Linked DNA regions of Bombyx mori. The protein of the gene in region 1 binds, or shares a complex with, the protein of each later gene. Links are inferred from orthologs where the notes say so. Each region holds a gene or a part of one and is shown in the gene's direction. Other genes may lie near its edges.

Region 1 (3,999 bases):
AAGTTTGGCCTATGCACGGAATAACAGCAGAAGAAGTGGCGAGCACCTTTGTAGCCGGTTGGATTGCTCGATTCGGAGTACCTGCTGTCATCACTACCGACCAGGGACGACAGTTCGAGTCGGACCTTTTCAGACGCCTTACTAATTTATGTGGTACTAAACGTATACGCACTACTAGTTACCACCCTTGTGCCAATGGGCTCGTGGAGCGCATGCATAGACAATTAAAGGCCTCTCTGATGTGTTATGATGATTCGTGGTTGAATGCATTACCTTTGGTCTTATTAGGAATGCGTTCGGCTTTTAAAGAAGATCTACAAGCAACAGTAGCGGAATTGCTTTACGGAGAAACATTAACGCTTCCAGGGGAACTGTTAGTACCTCCCGGTCCTTCTGGCTTCGAGGACCCGACGGATTTTGTCGTAAAGTTAAGACAGCGTATGTCTAAATTGCGTCCCACTCCATGTTCCTCACACACTAAACCATCACCTTTCATATTTAAAAATCTTTCCACCGCCTCTCATGTAATGCTCAGGGAGGATTCGGTTAGACGTTCAATGCAACCACCTTACTCTGGTCCTCATAGAGTTATATCTAGAGCCGAGGACGGAAAAACGTGGTCGATTGATGTAAAAGGGAAACAGGTGACGGTCAGTGTCGACAGAATTAAGCCAGCTTTCGTCGAGCATTCTTTAGTAGATCTCGTTCCAGCACCAGCACCGCGGGTTTCTGTGCCTCAACCAGCGCAACCGGATGCTACTAATGTCCCTTCATGTCCACTCGTGCCTTCGGCACCTCTAACTGCTACTCCTACGCATACACCTCAATATACCACCCGATCAGGTCGCAGAGTCCACTTCTCCAAACCTTTCGACCTATGATATTTTTTTCTCTTTTTCTGCGGATTCTCCTTCTCCGTAGGGGGGTGGTGTGGCGTTTTATTATGCGTAAGCCGGAACGCACGAGATGTGGGAAAAAGAATATAGTCTGTGACAATACCTTTTTACCGCCAAAATATGAAAAACAAAAATAATTTATAATGTGATAATAACCAATTTAATGTAATTACTTTATGCCGCTACAACAATAAAATTTATATTGTTCCAACTGTGGTGTTAATTACATAAAACACAACCAGGCGAAATAAAGAAGGGACTCTATATGAACTCCCTCACGTCATTTGTCAAAGATGGTCATATGTCACATGTCAAATTGCTCAAACCGGATTTTAAAGAAACAGGATTTGGAAGTGGAAAATAGACTACATTACAACAGCAATTAAACAAAATACTAATACAATTGATACGTACTTTTAGTGATTGTGTTTAAAAGACGAAAATATGGACCCGGCGCTCTTACGGGAACGGGAAGCGTTTAAAAAGAAGGCACTTGCGACCCCGAGGTCTGTTACATTATTTTTAACTAAACTATTCGCTAGTCCACAACAATGATTGGAGACATACTGGCATCCATCGCACACTTTCTCTGTCACTCACGTAGCCCATACAATTACTATCAATTCACTTCCTTGTGGCAATATTCATTACTGAGTCATTATATAAAGTTATGAATGGAAATATGTGTTTCGAAATACTAAATGAGTAGAAATGTGAACAAATCACTTGTGCAGAGAAAAGTAGAAGATTTAAATGTTAATAAGATATAATATCTTTCCTAATTTAATAGCAGCCAATATTCTAGATAAATATGATCAAGGCACAGGCCCTATTTTTTTAAAGATTATATTGACTGGCATGCCCTAGGTAAATTAGAATACAATGGAAAATGTTTCATTTAATTTAAAGTAATGAATTTTTTCAAAGAATCTGATCAAGCTGACAGCCCACATTATGTTAAGTGATTACCTGAGCCCCTAGATATAATGTGAATGTCACCAATTGTTTTGAAACATGATTTTTATCTAAAATGCTACTTCATCTTATAATCCATTTATGAAAACGTGTTAGAAATGTTTTGCCGTGGAAAAAATTATACAGGTCTATGGTATTTGAATACCAGCATAGTCACACTTGATAAAAGTACACTTTACATGAGCTATAGTTCAACCCATCGAAAGGTTACTGTCAAATTAGAACGAAACAAAATTAATAAAGTATTATTCTTTTCTCTTCAGCATTGAAAAAAAGAAAAGGGATGACTCTGAATTCAAAGATGACAGCAAAAAGAAATCGAAATCATCCAGCTCAGTCAGCTCCGGACCAAAGCTTGATGCTAGTAAGTAAGTAAAGGCTAGGGCAACATAATTAATAATTTAAAATATTCTGTTATCAAAATAACTATTGAATTTACATAGTTACTGTGTTCCGCATAAACAAATATGTGCATCATTTACTAATGCTATTTTCATTAATAAACTAGAAATCACATTTAGTTTTATCTTTTGACTAGGTCAAATTACTATATCAGCAATATCTATTCATGACATCAGTACCATTGCTTCCCATAATTTATTATGCTTTATAGGTAATTTTAATCGCCAATTCTATTAAATAATACTAATAAACTTTTTATAGCAATATCAACTTTTGAATAAAAAAAATTAGAAAAAGCCTTTGGAAAAAAAATTATGAAAAATAAAAAACACAGGATTTATTTGGAATTCGAAAATTTATATTATGATAGCCTTGATACAGGCTATATGTAGCGAGCTTTTTATTGTTAAAAAAATAATTTATCATTTAGTGTATTTGCTAAAATCTTATAAAATATATAAAAAAGAATTGATCATATTTAGTGCTACAATGGATAAAATATTGAGATAGAGCATATAGATACCAGTTCTTTCTCTGTTTGACAACTCTCCCTTTTATTTAATTTAGTAGCTATTAAAGAGCTTTTGTGTTATCAGAAAACAGTTCTAGATTTTTTTTTATATCACTAAGTAACGAAACAAAAGGGAAAATTTAATACTAAATTGAATCTAAACCTTGAGGTGTCAATGATTATGGTCGAATTTAGATCAATAAGCAAACACTAATAATATTATTTTTTGTTATATTATAATTATTGGTTAAATCTGTGATTGATCATCATCCTTTTCAGTTACAAGACTATGACTGGCAGCTCGTCCTATCGCTTTGGTGTGCTAGCGCGTATTGTACGGCATATGAGAGCAAGGCATCAAGATGGAGATGACCATCCACTGTCTTTAGATGAGATTTTAGATGAGACAAATCAATTGGATGTCGGAAATAAAATAAAACAGGTATCTTTTAATAAGTATTGAAATAATAAATAAATTACCTCAATAATAATTACAACAACACACACATTTTCTTATAGCTGATGATAAATGCAATTTTTATTTTATTACTAAGTCTAATGTGCTCACGAACCACCTGGTGTTAAGCAGTTACTGGAGTATATAGACATGAGTTCTAAATCTCACTTTTATATTGCTTATGCTTCAGTAAAGAAATAGGCAGTGTGGTTATATCTACCCCTGCATGCTCACAAGACACCCTATTAACACTAACTGTATCTACATAATGTATAAAAATAATCATGAGTAATTACTTTAGGAAAATGATGGCATTAATTACAGTATTATTATACCCCAGCACACAAGTACCACAACACCCAAATTGATTAAAATGCTTTTTATAAATAATATTCTATTTTAATTGATTTCTCTTTTATAACCTGCTGTAAACATTTTCAAGTGGCTACAAACAGAAGCCCTACAGAGCAATCCTAAAATCGAATGCTCTCCGGATGGAAAGTTTAACTTCAAACCGGTTTATAAAATAAAAGATAAAAAATCTTTACTGAGGTACGTATAATATTTTCATTATTTACATAATTCAAATGTAGTAACTAGAAAACGATTTAAAGATCATCACCTGACAAAAATCATATAAATAAAAAGTACTTGTTCAATTTGCATTTCATTTATTGTAGGCAGCGGTTTGGCTCTGCCCCTGGCATTGCTGAAGTCCATGGGCGACGGTAACTACTCACCATCAGGTGGGCCGTATG
Region 2 (4,106 bases), on another chromosome or scaffold:
TTTTACAGTGAAACTGTTTTTGTTCGGATTTCATATCTTTTAGTTAAGTATTATTTTTTGCTCATTTATTACTTAACAAAAATAGACAATAGAATAAAAATATATTACTAGTATATAGTCACTCAGCTTAAAAGCTAATGAAACGCTCAATTAATTAGTGTAATAATAATCAACATCAACTTTTACAAATTTAAACCGAATTAAATTCTGTTTCAAATGTGAACGGTGGATGACGCTGTTCTTAATTATTTCAGATTTTAAAATTGAAATCTGAAAGCTTTGAAACGTCAATCTGCATAAATGTAATTCAAAAACTACAGTAAGAGGCTTAAATAAAAAGCTAAATTTAACTCAGCCTTAATTAAAATTTTTTTCGGAATTTAGTAGTAAAGTTCAAGTTATTTTGATGAAATCAAAACTGAAATATTCATAACATCTTAAACAATCACCTACGAATAAATATTATTTATTATATTATCTATTCAGTAGACAATCACAACGGTTTTATAGTTTTGGGAAGGGATTTTTTGTAACGCCATCTCGTGAAGTATTTCGGTATTACATTAATATAAAATAATTAATAATTGGGAATTTAATTATTTTTATGATCGAACAATCACCAATAGTCATCGAACAAACGATAATTGATCAAAATGAATTAAAATGAATTAATCGATAAAAATAAAGATATCTAGTAAGAGGGGCCCACTTAACGGTGATCATTTATTTAATTAATTATAAATAAACAAAAGACGAACAAACAATTTTTACATTCGAGCATTAACGAACAAACGACGAACAAATAATTAAAAATAAAAAAAATCCGAAAATAAAAAAAGGGGGCCAAATTTACAGAGCCATAACCTACTAACTTAAATATTAAGTGTATGATCTATACCTACGGCACACTGAATTTGGCCCCTCTTTTTTTGATTTTCAAATTTTTTTATTTTTAATTATTTGTCCGTTGTTTGTTCGTTAATGTTCATATGTAAAAAATCTTTGTTCGTCTTTTATTTATTTATAATTAATTAAACAAATGATCACATTAAGTTGGCTCCTTTTACTAGATATCTTTATTTTTATCACTCAGATTAATTAATTTTGATCAATTATCGTTTGTTTGACGACTATTGGTGATTGTTCGATCATAAAAACAATTGAATTCTCAATTATTAATTATTTTATATCTAATAAGCAAACCATCACCTCACGCCAACAAATATAAAAAAATCCAAAATAAAAAAGGGGGCTAAATTCACTGAGCCATTAAGCACATAATATTTGCATGTGTTTAATCTATGATATTTGCTACCATAGATAATAGAGCCTAGGAAAGGCGACGACGACGCATTTGCTTTAATATTTTCCAATTGAAAATACAGAAAGGCCATTAATAGCCTACAGTATATTTTTTAAATACAACACTCGCTTTAGCGAAGATGTATGATACAGAAGATGATCAATACGAAGAGGAAGATGTGGAAATAACACCTGAGCTTTGGCAAGAAGCTTGTTGGATTGTCATCAACGCTTATTTCGATGAAAAAGGTCTAGTGAGACAGCAATTAGATAGCTTCGATGAATTTATTCAAATGTCGGTACAACGTATAGTTGAAGATTCTCCACCCATAGAATTACAAGCAGAAGCACAACATTTCTCTGGTGAGATGGAAACACCACCAAAATATCGTCTTAAATTTGACCAAATTTATTTATCTAAACCTACTCATTGGGAGAAAGATGGAGCTCCATCTCCCATGATGCCCAATGAAGCACGTCTTCGTAATTTAACATATTCGGCACCTTTATATGTTGATATTACAAAAACAATAGAGAAAGAACATGAGGATCCTATTGAAACGCAACATCAGAAAACATTTATTGGCAAGATTCCTATTATGCTTAGATCTACATATTGCTTACTAAACAGTTTGACTGACCGTGACTTGTCAGAATTGAATGAATGCCCCTTAGATCCTGGTGGTTACTTCATTATTAATGGATCAGAAAAAGTACTAATTGCACAGGAAAAAATGGCTACCAATACTGTCTATGTATTCAGCATGAAGGATGGCAAATATGCTTACAAAACAGAAATAAGATCATGTCTGGAACATAGTTCTAGACCGACATCTACATTATGGGTTAATATGATGGCTCGAGGAGGACAAAATATAAAGAAATCTGCTATTGGTCAAAGAATTATGGCAATTGTCCCATATATCAAACAAGACATACCTATAATGATTGTATTCAGAGCTTTAGGTTTTGTTGCTGATAGAGATATATTGGAACACATTATATATGATTTTGATGATCCAGAAATGATGGAAATGGTTAAGCCATCTCTTGATGAGGCTTTTGTCATTCAAGAACAAAATGTAGCACTCAATTTTATTGGAAGCCGAGGAGCACGCCCAGGTGTCACCAAAGAAAGACGTATTAAATATGCTAGAGAAATCTTACAAAAGGAAATGTTGCCACATGTTGGAGTATCAGATTTTTGTGAAACAAAAAAAGCTTATTTTCTAGGCTACATGGTACACAGATTATTATTAGCTGCTTTGGGTCGAAGAGAACTGGATGATAGAGATCATTATGGCAACAAAAGATTAGATTTAGCAGGACCACTTTTGGCTTTTCTATTTAGAGGCTTATTCAAAAATTTACTAAAAGAAGTCCGAATGTATGCTCAAAAATTTATTGATAGAGGAAAAGATTTCAACTTGGAACTTGCTATCAAAACAAAAATCATCACTGATGGTCTTCGTTATTCTTTGGCAACTGGTAATTGGGGTGACCAAAAGAAAGCTCATCAGGCCCGAGCTGGAGTATCTCAAGTGTTGAACAGATTAACTTTTGCATCTACTTTATCCCATTTAAGACGTGTCAATTCTCCAATTGGACGTGATGGTAAACTTGCTAAACCACGTCAATTGCACAATACTTTATGGGGTATGATTTGTCCTGCTGAAACTCCAGAGGGAGCTGCTGTTGGCTTAGTGAAGAATTTAGCATTAATGGCTTATATCTCAGTAGGAAGTCAACCTTCACCAATTTTGGAGTTCTTGGAAGAATGGTCAATGGAAAACTTGGAAGAAATTGCACCATCAGCTATAGCTGATGCCACAAAGATATTTGTGAATGGTTGTTGGGTAGGAATACACAGGGACCCTGAACAGTTGATGGCTACACTACGTAAACTAAGACGTCATATGGACATCATTGTCTCTGAAGTCAGTATGATTAGAGATATAAGAGACAGAGAAATCAGAATCTATACAGATGCAGGTAGAATTTGTAGGCCATTACTTATTGTCAATAATGGTGTCTTATTGTTGAAAAAGAAGCACATAGATGATTTAAAAGAAAAGGACTACAATAACTATGGTTGGCAAAATTTGGTGGCTAGTGGAGTAGTTGAATATATTGATACTTTGGAAGAAGAAACTGTGATGATTGCCATGAGTTTAGATGACTTGAATCAAGTTAAAGAATATGCATATTGTACTACTTATACACATTGTGAGATTCATCCTGCAATGATTCTGGGTGTCTGTGCGTCTATTATTCCATTCCCAGATCATAATCAAAGTCCCAGAAATACTTATCAAAGTGCTATGGGTAAACAAGCTATGGGAGTTTATATCACAAATTTCCATGTTAGAATGGATACACTGGCTCATGTTTTGTATTATCCTCACAAACCCCTGGTTACGACAAGATCTATGGAATACTTACGATTTAGAGAATTGCCAGCAGGAATTAACTCCATTGTTGCTATTCTTTGTTATACCGGATATAACCAAGAAGATAGTGTTATTTTGAATGCATCTGCTGTAGAGAGAGGATTCTTTAGATCCGTATTTTACCGTTCATACAAAGATTCTGAATCTAAAAGAAATGGAGAACAAGAAGAACAGTTTGAAAAACCAACCAGACAGACATGTCAGGGTATGAGGAATGCTCTGTATGACAAATTAGATGATGATGGTATTATTGCTCCTGGTATTAGAGTATCAGGTGATGATGTTGTCATAGGAAAAACTATAACTTTGCCAGAAAATGATGATGAGTTGGAAGGTACAACAAAACGATTTACA
Region 3 (3,516 bases), on another chromosome or scaffold:
TTTCAAAACTCAAAGCATCAAAAATGGCGACCTTTAAGCTTACGTTATTTCATGCGGAAAGAGATACTATCAGTGTGCTTAGTGCGAGTTTTTTAACGTTCTCGATAGCGTAAAAGTTAGCTCATATTTGTAAGGAATGGAATCGTTTACGTACGTTTGCCGCTAGGGGCGCTGTTCAAACTGCATACAGAATTGGCTTAACTTTTACGCTATCGAGAACGTTAAAAAACTCGCACTAAGCACACAGGAGCATTATTGCGACCTCTTACCAAATATCCTAGTGCCGCCGCAAAAGACATTTTAATTACATTTGAAAGTAAATTAATTAAATACGCCACTAATATTAAATAAAAATTAAATTATGTATAATTTTTTTCAATATAAATCGATTTAAACAATAATAAGTAAGGTTAATTTTCAAGGCTTACAGATTATAACCTAACCTCTTAAATCTTTTTATTAACTCGGCATTTGTATTATTTACCTGGACTCCACGCTCAAAACACTCTAAAATCCATTCCACTTGAGTTTACGACAGTAACGCTCACAAGCAAGTGGAACGGAAAAAATTGCGGTCGTGAGCGTGATCGTTGTGAACGCTTAGTGGAACGCAGCCTATAAGTGTGGGAAATGTCATCCTCCTCCGTCCGCGTCCCTAGTGTGTGACGTCACCCGGGTCGTGTAATGTTTCAGAGACGCAGAAGACGGGTCCGCCGTTATCACTCGCGCCGGCTTCCAGTTTCTGCTCCTGAGTACACCCAAGCAGGTCGGTTCAGTGTCTGAGCGATGAGCCCGGCCAGCCCGGCCCTCGCGGGGCGGCGGGTGTGACGCGTGTGTGTGCGCAGGTGTGGCTGTTCCTGCAGCACTACCTGCACACGGCCGAGCGCCGCAGCCTCAGCGCCGCCGAGTGCCTGGCCTTCCTCTACCAGCTCAGCTTCAGCACCCTGGGGAAGGTGACTATAATCATTTTTTCCAATGTTAAACTTTTATTGCTAAGATGGACGAACGAGCTCACGACCGCCCGCTGGTCGCCAGAACTCATAGACAAGAACAACAACGTAATTGTTGCCATCCGTTTCAATGCGTTAAATCTTATGAATCTGAACTATACCCATAATATAAACCTTATGAATATTATTCAATCTTAAGAATTTATGTGTCAGTCTCTTTTTACTGTCGCTTTTTTAAAGGTGGCCCGACATGAAAACTCTTGTCGTGGCCGCTGGGAACTACATACCCGATCCTGTAGACCGAATAGTAAATAGTCGAAGTCGCCCTAAATACGTCATTTTGGATCCTCCCGATCCATTAACGGTGCTTTTAGGTACCTCAAGCACCGGTCACCGTCCTCGTTGAACCCGTCGCTTGCGACGAAGGGCTCAACGAGTGAATTAACTCATAGACACAGCCGGACTCGCCGGATCTTCTCAGTGGGACGCGTTTCCGATCCGGTAGTAGATTCTGCGAAGCACTGCTCTTGCTAGGGTCAGTGTTAGCAACACCCCCGGTTAAGCCCCGTGAGCTCACCTACACGTCAAGGAGAAGCTGAAAGAGCCTCCCAAGGCTACAAGTCCAGGTAAGCAAAAAAAGTCGCTTTTTAATTTCATCGTCGTGGCCTAAAGGATGAGACGTCCGGTGCATTCGTGCTGACCGATGCACCGGTGTTCGAATCCCGCAGGCGGATACAAATTTTTCTAATGAAATACGTACTCAACAAATGTTCACGATTGACTTAACATCGTGTAATAAAAATCAAACCCGCTAAATTATAATTTGCGTAATTACTGGTGGTAGGACCTCTTGTGAGTCCGCGCGGGTAGGTACCACCACTTTGCCGATTTCTGCTTCCCAAGTTTTCACTTCAAAAAAACCTGTTCCGTACCGTATCGTTATCACTCGGAGCCTGCGCGCTGTCCGCCGGAACAACACAATCATTCAAACTACTTGAGCGGCTTATCCCGCGCTGTCTGTTGCCTCAATGTCGTTAACGACGTGCTCAATGGTCCAGTAGCCGGGGCCGCCGCCCGCACTGTTACACTGACACTAGAACACGCGGGAATGTACGTCAGAGCAGACTTCATTACGCCCACAACTCGCGAGTACCTATACAAATCGGACTTTGTTTAAAAATATCATCAATTTAAAAAATATATTCTAATTGCTTTTTAAAATATACAATATAGTTATTTTTTTATTCTCCTCCTTCTTGCGTCGTATTCCTCTCACTGCTGAGGGTCGCGACCACCCTTCTGTATCACCTTCGCACGCATGACCTTTCTCCAACTATTTTTGTCTCTGGCGGTGTGGAGGGCGTTGTGAAGTGTGGGATCAAGAGCGGTGCGGATCTGGTCGGACCAACTTATCGGGAAGCGCCCCCGAGGCCTTTTCCCATCCACTTCATAATTATTTGAAAATGTTCAATACGATACAACATCTCTGAATATGTGTCCGGATTGTATGTAATATATGTAATGTGTGTAATATACTGCGGGATGGACAAGTTCTAAAAGTGTTCACGCTTAGAGTTGAAATTATATAAGTGTTTTGAAATTATCAGTAAGACTGTAATAAAATTGATATCTGTTTTTTTTTTAAGAGATTTTATGACCTAGTAACCGAGACCTTTAAGTCATGTCTTATTTTACTTTATATTCTTAATTTTATGAAAAATGATAATATGGAGTGAAATGAAATGAATATGATTAATTTGAGACATTAATCAACTGGGATGAAATGAAATTTAATGAAATGAAATGATATGGGATGAAATATAATCGCAGTAAAATGGTGGTCATTTACTGAGATTTTTTCAGTGGACTTTTTGGAGGAACCCGAGAAGTTACGTCCAGCAGCTTTGTTTCATTTTCCCACATTTGTGCACTTTCACAGATATTAAACAGTTAATAAACCACCATTATTACACATTTAAACCCGAAGAAACACTAAATAGACAAAATAAAACAAATCACACAACTTCACTCCTCGCGTTCCCGCTAAAAAGTCATTGATATCTGAGCCTTACAAAGAGCACAGATACAGCACAGAGTATATGTGGTATGTGGAAAATTATTAACTTAAAGTATCTGTTTGAATGAATTCAATCGTGATGACATTTGAGGTCAAGCATATTTTATAAAAGAAATGTATTGATCAAGTTAATATTTATTAAAATATTTCATTAAAAATTGGTTTTCTGTAATTCAACGCTCATTTAATATCATACAAAAATAGATAGATGAGGTCTGTTTTATTTTAATATAAGAATAAAATAAAAGAGTGCCGCGCGTCTCGTCCGCAGGACTACAGCACGGAGGGCATGAGCAACAACATGCTGGTGTTCCTGCAGCACCTGCGGGAGTTCGGCCTCGTCTACCAGAGGAAGGTCGGTATCTGCGCGCCACTCGGGCGTCGCGGAGCTGCCCCGCGCCACACTATATGGCATTGTAACTGTCTGTCTGTGGGCAACCGTGGGCGGGCGGACACCGGACGTCCGAGTGGCGACTAGGGTCCGCCGCG
Region 4 (3,747 bases), on another chromosome or scaffold:
TAAAAACAGAAACTTTCGAAATGTTGCAAATTTCGACAAGAGATGGTTTTTGAACTGCCATAAAACCAAAATTCTACATTAATAGCGAACACATAGTGAATAGTAAACAAATTTTAGTTTGATCCTACGTTAATTTAGACTTCAGGTGAGCGAGTAATGATATTCTGGAACGTATCGATCTGCTGCAAATAGCTAGCCGACGAACAAACCAACACGGTCCCCACTAGACCGCGTCGACCGCGGACTATACAGATACACACCAATCACTGACAGATGACGTTATTTCCCCGAAATAACTAGCTGTGCTTTTAATTTACCTTTAATTAATTTACGGTAAATGTGCTGTATTGTGTTATCAAGAGAAGTTTGATTTGATAAACTGAAAAAACCGTGTTTCATTCGGCATTGGTATCGATTTTGTTCGTTACAATATTTACTAAAAGAAAATTGAGGTAAATGAGTACTGTAACCCTCATATTTTGATATTTATAAATTTTTAATATTATATTGAAGTCAGAATATATAAGAATGTTCCATTAGAATACCTTCTTACCAATTGTCGTGCTTTAAAAATCTGTCACAGAAAGAAATGTATTGAGTCAAATGAATTGATGATGATTGATGTCAAATTAATAACGAAAGCATATTATTATACACTACCTTTTCAACTATATAAGTTTAAGCCCCTATTTTAAATATAAAAACTTCAACGTCATTCGTTACAAAAAAAATGAAAAGCTTCGACAAAGACGAAAAGTTCTTTCCAACATTTGGATTTCCCGCCACAAAAATACTAAAATTCAATTATTGTCTATGCCACCAATTTTAATCAACATTTTTTACAACCACTGAAAAACTGAAAAATCTATCTAAAATAACAATTAAGTTTATAGTTACTCTTGTTTCATAAACGTCCTATTATGCGGTTTTATTAAGAATGAAGTCTTTAAGTTTTCATAGTACAAGATAAAATTGAGTGTTGCGTTGCTTGTACTCAACAGTGCAATAGTTTAATATAAATAAAATATAAATATTATTTAGTCAATATTATTTAACAATGGTTTAAGTAGAAATGAATTTCATTAAAATTGGCTTGTAACGAATTTTTTTGAATGAATACCGTTTTTTGTGAAAATTCTATATTTTTAAATTTCATCATTCAATGTTATAACAATAAATTTTAGATATGCCAATTTTGTTTTGAAATTTTAAAGTGGTGGCTCTTTCCTTTCAAACCGTAAAATCAATTTAAAGGCAACTACCCAAGGCGCAAACTCACCAATACGTAATCAACCGGGGCGCGGTGCGGGGCGGTGCTATTTCTCGTACTCATAACGCATGCGCCATCTTTGTCGTCGTTCAATGTCGGAATCAACGAACCATAGACAATTATTTCTTTAAAGGCTACGAAATATTTCCTCGGTTTGTAGGTTATGTTTGAGTGATCAATTGTCAAAATTTTTATGGTGAATTTATAAATTTGTCTCTCTTTATGTAAATGGACGTCATAAAAGTTAAAATAAGCTACTTTAGCCACATATTATCTTAAATATATAAAATTGGTCATCAACATTAGTGAATTAACAAACTGTGTGAATTCCAGAAATTTGACATTGAAATGTTGCGATGTGAACTCAGAAGACAAATAATCGGCTCTAAACTAAACTAAACAGATTTAGAAACAAGAATATCTAGTTCTGTGAACATTTTACACTGTTAAACAATTTTCAACTACAGCTCGATTGCAAAATGACAACGAGTCAGCTCGCAGTATTGAAACTTTACAACATAGTGGTAGACGACGTGATATCCGGAGTGAGAAATTCTTTCTTAGATGACGGTGTAGACGAACAAGTGTTACAAGAACTAAAACAACTATGGAAGACAAAGCTTCAAGCCAGTGGAGCCACGGACCCGTTACAACCTGAGCCGATGCTGCCACCTCCTCCAGTGTTACAGAATTTCCAAAAAGTAAATGGTAGTAATGTAGTGCATAAAAGAACTGACATGGGACATACTTCGGGGCAACAAGAACATAGTGCACCAGCATCTAGTGTAGCTGGAACGCATACTCATCATATTCTAGACCCTAATAATAAAGTGCCAGTTCAGCTTACATTACCTGCTCAACCTGGAGTTCCAGGGTCCCAGCCTCGTTCATTTACCATTCAAATTCCAGCATCAGCTCTGAACGGCAACAAACTGCATCAGGTCTTAACAGGTCCTATAATAAATGCTACCATTAGCCTTCCACAACCTCTAGCTGCTACTTTACTGCAACAACATATCAACTCGGCTTTAGCAGGACAAAAAAGTGATTTTGATAGCGGCGGAGGCGGCCGCAGTGGAACTGCTCCTTTCTCTTTAGATGGTGCTTTGGACTCTTCTGATGATGATGGCTCAAACGTAGGTGATGGTTCAGAAGACGGTGCAGCAGATGATGATGATGATGACGATTCTCCCGAAGAGCGGGCAGAAGAAGAAGAAGAAGAACAAAATGAAAGTGGTGGTGCTGAAGAAGAACCCCTAAATTCCGGTGATGATGTATCTGATGAGGAGCCAGGGGACATGTTTGATACTGATAATGTAGTTGTTTGCCAATATGATAAAATTACACGCAGTCGCAATAGGTGGAAGTTCTATCTCAAAGATGGAATCATGAATCTAGCTGGAAAGGATTATGTATTCCAAAAGGCTAATGGTGATGCGGAATGGTGATTATAGACAGTGTGTATTTTATAGAAAATTATTTGTTATATCTCGGAATTAGGGCTTAAGGTCTCATAATTATTATTTCGTTATTTCGACATGTAATTTGATGTCTGTATGGCAGATATCTGTGTAACAAGATTACGATAAGATTGTTAAACAAATTATGAAAAAAAAAAAACAATCTTTAGTAGGTAGATTTGAAGTTTTCTAAGACACTAGTATTACCAATAGTAAAAAACTCTACCAAGCTCCTTCAGTCTCACTTCCCATTAGTGTGTTTTTTGTACACTACTGAGACTACTACTTACTAATATAATTACAAAAAAAAACACAAAAAAAAATCTAAATGAAAGATATTTATTTGACTTTGTGCTTCTAATATCGAGATACATATCTTGACTTATTGGGTATTAATAATGTACAATACAAAAGAAGTTTGTGAATAATTTTGTTATCTCTTAAGTTGATGCTCTTTAATTTAAATGCCACTATTAAAATTACAATAAATGTGACACATGACCCATGTTTTTTTTATAATATTGAAAATGTCCTTAATTTCATTTGTTTAAACAAAAAATATAATGCATAAATAAACAACTTTTAAATTTAATAAAAATGAGTTAAATTTCCTCTTTAAAAATGAAAAAAATATTTATTACAGAGTATGTAAGATCAAAGATAATTTAAATATCAAACAAATAGTCCTTATTAGAAGCAAACAATTAATTTGGTTTTTTTTTAAATTTCTACATCTCAACAATGGGCAAGGACTGCAAGGGCATGATACTTTAAAATGTAATTATTTCTAATATAATAATATTATAGATAACGTTTAGGGGGTTTTATTTTAATAACGAATTAAATTGCACTCTTAATATTAAGACTTAAAAGGAAAAATAACTACACACAAACTCATATGAAAGCTATTTTTACAGAAGGAGAGTCATCATGTTTCTAATGTAAAAAAAATCAGTTAGGCTGCTTTAAAAAAGTATGGTAAATTTCAAAACAGAGTGCACTTGTCCACAATGATCA
Region 5 (4,010 bases), on another chromosome or scaffold:
AGACAATTAAAAAAAACATCTATTTTATCACTTAAAATTAGTTCAGCGCAATCGGACAACTCCGAATGAACATTGACGGAGACCACGCTACCGTGGACATTATTGTAGTCCCAAAGGATTCTGTATATGGGAGAGTAAGCACCTAAATTCGAACGAGTGAGCTTTCTTATAAACGGTTTATATTTCTTCGGTCTTGGTAAGTACTTAGGGGCTGATATTTTTATCTGGGTTAAGAGATTAGTTATGTCGGTTATTCCATGGATTAATCAGATGAATACCCCCACTCTGAACAAATATTAAATATTTTATAATGTATTACTTAGACATTTTTGTCCACCTCGAGATTTCATTGTTCTTGTTACATGTCTGTGCAAAATCGACTTACTTATATTAAATTGCTTGGCTATTTCAAGTAAAGACTTATTCCCAATTTCATAGGCTTCTATTGCTGTTTTTAATATTAAGGGATCATATCTCTTATAAGGCTTTGCACTCTTTGATACGTAAACGCGAGGCATATCTAAAAATAGAAAACAATACGTAACTGATAATATATTTACCAAACAATAAAATAACACATTGATAATTTTAAATAAAAGTTCTAGACAAAGACATCATGAATAAACCAGATTTTTACCAACAAATTTAAAAAATATTGTTATAACTACATAGACAACCCTACAAACCTGTACCTATTTATACTTAGGTGGTTTCCATTTCACGTATTCTCATCCCAATTGACCCCTTTTTCGTTGTTATTTGTACCTAAGACGTCCCTAATATCCCCCAAAACAACAGATTTTTACATGTATTTTTATTTTATCAAATACATTAAAACCAATAACAACTGAGACTTACCTTTAATATATATGATGGTTCAAACACTAAATAACGTTTATAAATCACAGTCGTCTTCTATTATTATCAAATAAATAAAAGAGAGCAAAGTTTCTAGCACTAAAATAATTTCCAACACAGGAAGTTAATTTGAAACGCGATTTTTTATAAGTTAGCAGCTATTATCATGCATATTCAGAGTTTTTTTGTGAACTTTCAACATTCTACTATTAAACTACAAAAAATGGAAGATTTTGCAACGAATATAAAACTAATATTGTGCGTCGCAAGATTTTCCCGGTTTTTTCCCGATTCGCCTCTCAATCCCTAATCGCCCCATTTTACGGTATTTATTATATTAATCTGTGGTTAAGCTGTCACCATAGATTATACACTTAATATTTTCGAGAGCTGTCACTTATGTAGGTCTTTTGTGGAAGTGCAAGTAAATTTTCTAAGATTTAGTTATAGTTAAAGGAAATCTTTACGACTTTAGTACTTTTAAAGGCCGTTAAAATAGTGTCCGCTATCGACTGCTAATAGATTTTATATTCCACAACAATGACCGAATTGGACTTATCAAATACTGGTAGAGGAGTATGGTTGGTAAAAGTACCTAAATATATAGCAAACAAATGGGAAAAAGCTCCTGGAAACATTGAGGTAGGAAAACTAAAGATCTCCAGAGTACCAGGAACGAGAGCTAAAGTGCAGTTATCCTTGTCAGAAGCAGTGCTATGTTTAAAGGACCCTGGTGAACAAAGCATACCAAAAGAACATAAGCTTGATGTTTCAAACGTTAATACTCAATCTCTAGGTGTATTTTCGCATATTGCCCGTAAGTAGTCTCATAATTATCTATATTTAACGCCTCCTAACATGTCCTGGTGAACTCAATGATAAAATTAATTTCATGTCTAAAGTTCGATATTATATTAATCGTGTTTATTCATAATATAACCATTTTAGCGACAAATACGGACTCTGTAGTACCAGAGACAGAAAACCTTTACATGGAGGGTAGGATTGTACAGAAATTGGAATGCAGACCAAATGATGATGTGACATACTATAAGCTTAAATCTGAATCAATAAAGAAAGCATCCATGCCTCAGCGACAAGTGCAACAGCTTGACAGGATTGTTCAGAACTTCAAACCAGTATCTGACCATCCACATAATGTATGTTTACTGTTGAAATCTAAAGGATTGATTTACTGTATTTTTCAGCAACTGATCATTAAAACATGCCCCTGACTGCATTGGAAGTCAAACTAGAGATGATTAAAAAGTTTTAAATAGAGCATGTGTAGAGCTCTGAGATCTCCAGATGCAGTTCAATACTCTTTGGATATGTTGTTGAATGAAATGCTTCATATAAATTCTACTAGAAGTATTAAAATACAGGTTGCAGCAATGTCTGCTCCCATTGTATAGCAAAGTTATCATTTAGACAAACTCGAAAATAAAAACATGATTGATCAATATAAAAAATTATAAATTGTGTAGTTATTGATAGCTACTTATCTGATAACAGTCCTCCATAGGTTAGGAATTAATGGGACATAAGTAGTGATTGATATAATTGGAATGGTGGAACGGTAAATAGGGAATGTTTAGTAGCTTGGGATGGCCAAGACTGTAAAATTTGCATCTTGAGCTGGTATAAAATACAATAGGTACTTCCACCTTTTATCTGAAGATGGGTGGGCATTCATATATGTGTGGTATTGGTACAGATAGTAGGGTGTGTGTAGATATTGCTCCTGCTTATGTTTACAGCAAATCATTGTGTGCTTAGTGTGAGTTTTTAACTTCTTGATCAAACGGCCGTCTGGTGTAGTGGTAAGTGACATGGTCACTACACAAGGAGGTCGCGGGTTCGAATCCCGCCAAGGTAAGATATTTGTATGATAAATGTAAATGTCTTTCCAGGGTTATGGGTGTACATTAAATATATGTATGTGTATAATAAAATATTATATTTATTTCCGTTATCTGGTACTTGTAACACAAGTTCTTTACGAACTTAGCACGGGACCAGTTAACGTGGCGTGATTGTTAGTAAATATTTATATTTATATTTATTTATATTTAAAAAATAACTCAAATTTGTATGAAGTTGGAATAGCGCCCCTGCGTTTGCTTCTTGGGGTGCTGTTCCAACTCTGATCGAGAAGTTAAAAAGTTCACACTAAGCACATTGGTTTGAAGGAAAACCTCATACAATAGAATTGAGATTTCGACTTCTCAAGGTTTTTGGTGCTATTCATGTTATGATGACTAGTGAGGTAACCACTTTACACTGGGTGGACCACGGGGTTCTTCACTCATCTATATAGTAAATTAAATTATAAACATCAGTAAATAAAAACAAATGGCTCTGTATATTTTTACTTTCTATGAGCTCTTAAACCAACCAGAAAACTTTTCACAAGTGACACAATGAATAACAACAGGTTTTAAAATTTCTTAAGTTGTTTTACTTTTTGTATTCTATTAAGTTTATTTCATTTCATTATGTTAATCATGCTTTTTTTAATTTTGTATATTAAAATTTCGTAAAATATTTAGATTGACTACCAAGAAAGGAAGAAGGCTGAAGGGAAAAAGGCTCGTGATGATAAAGAAGCAGTGCTCAATATGCTGTTTGCAGCATTTGAGAAACATCAGTATTACAATATTAAGGATCTTCAAAAGGTAATAAATACTATTCTGATGATTTTATATTTGTCTAAACATAAAATTATTAACACATTATTAAGCAAAAAATTTAATCATTGTCTTAATAAAAAAAATAAAGGCCAAAAGAAACTGTTTCACTGTATATATTATATTCTAATTTTGATAATACTGTTCATACTTTGAAACTGAGAATAGTAGTGACTTTGAATTTAAAATTAGATGTTCATAAAAAAAAACACATCTAATTGCATTTTTTTTTATTGCTTTGATGAATGGACGAGCTCACAGCCCACCTGATGTTAAGTGGTTACTGGAGCCCATAGACATCTACAACGTAAATGCGCCACCCACCTCGAGATATAAGTTCTAAGGTCTCAGTATAGTTACAACGCCTACCCCACCCTTCGAACCGAAACGCATTACTGCTTCACGGCGGAAATAGGCGGGGTGGTGGTACCTACCCGTGTGGACTCCCAAGAGGTCCTAGTG

What was found.
Region 2: general transcription factor IIE subunit 2 (region 1) and DNA-directed RNA polymerase II subunit RPB2 share a complex: the UniProt entries of both Homo sapiens proteins name them as parts of the TBP-based Pol II pre-initiation complex. The link is inferred for Bombyx mori from reciprocal best matches to the Homo sapiens genes GTF2E2 and POLR2B.
Region 3: general transcription factor IIE subunit 2 (region 1) and general transcription factor IIH subunit 4 share a complex: the UniProt entries of both Homo sapiens proteins name them as parts of the TBP-based Pol II pre-initiation complex. The link is inferred for Bombyx mori from reciprocal best matches to the Homo sapiens genes GTF2E2 and GTF2H4.
Region 4: general transcription factor IIE subunit 2 (region 1) and transcription initiation factor IIA subunit 1 share a complex: the UniProt entries of both Homo sapiens proteins name them as parts of the TBP-based Pol II pre-initiation complex. The link is inferred for Bombyx mori from reciprocal best matches to the Homo sapiens genes GTF2E2 and GTF2A1.
Region 5: general transcription factor IIE subunit 2 (region 1) and general transcription factor IIF subunit 2 share a complex: the UniProt entries of both Homo sapiens proteins name them as parts of the TBP-based Pol II pre-initiation complex. The link is inferred for Bombyx mori from reciprocal best matches to the Homo sapiens genes GTF2E2 and GTF2F2.

Annotation. Positions count from the first base shown.
Region 1 is NC_085118.1:15,267,051-15,271,049, forward strand, and holds the start of general transcription factor IIE subunit 2, read left to right. Parts: upstream 1-1,196; 5' UTR 1,197-1,340; coding exon 1,341-1,402; exon of another isoform or gene 1,403-1,406; intron 1,407-2,134; coding exon 2,135-2,239; intron 2,240-3,063; coding exon 3,064-3,226; intron 3,227-3,683; coding exon 3,684-3,793; intron 3,794-3,999. UniProt on the Homo sapiens protein: Recruits TFIIH to the initiation complex and stimulates the RNA polymerase II C-terminal domain kinase and DNA-dependent ATPase activities of TFIIH. Both TFIIH and TFIIE are required for promoter clearance by RNA polymerase.
Region 2 is NC_085110.1:13,229,981-13,234,086, forward strand, and holds the start of DNA-directed RNA polymerase II subunit RPB2, read left to right. Parts: upstream 1-1,302; 5' UTR 1,303-1,442; coding exon 1,443-4,106. UniProt on the Homo sapiens protein: Catalytic core component of RNA polymerase II (Pol II), a DNA-dependent RNA polymerase which synthesizes mRNA precursors and many functional non-coding RNAs using the four ribonucleoside triphosphates as substrates.
Region 3 is NC_085125.1:212,811-216,326, reverse strand, and holds part of general transcription factor IIH subunit 4, read left to right. Parts: intron 1-693; coding exon 694-766; intron 767-845; coding exon 846-953; intron 954-3,298; coding exon 3,299-3,382; intron 3,383-3,516. UniProt on the Homo sapiens protein: Component of the general transcription and DNA repair factor IIH (TFIIH) core complex, which is involved in general and transcription-coupled nucleotide excision repair (NER) of damaged DNA and, when complexed to CAK, in RNA transcription by RNA polymerase II.
Region 4 is NC_085117.1:13,411,124-13,414,870, forward strand, and holds transcription initiation factor IIA subunit 1, read left to right. Parts: upstream 1-1,227; 5' UTR 1,228-1,749; coding exon 1,750-2,718; 3' UTR 2,719-3,231; downstream 3,232-3,747. UniProt on the Homo sapiens protein: TFIIA is a component of the transcription machinery of RNA polymerase II and plays an important role in transcriptional activation. TFIIA in a complex with TBP mediates transcriptional activity.
Region 5 is NC_085110.1:12,712,212-12,716,221, reverse strand, and holds the start of general transcription factor IIF subunit 2, read left to right. Parts: upstream 1-1,206; 5' UTR 1,207-1,398; coding exon 1,399-1,675; intron 1,676-1,806; coding exon 1,807-2,018; intron 2,019-3,410; coding exon 3,411-3,536; intron 3,537-4,010. UniProt on the Homo sapiens protein: TFIIF is a general transcription initiation factor that binds to RNA polymerase II and helps to recruit it to the initiation complex in collaboration with TFIIB.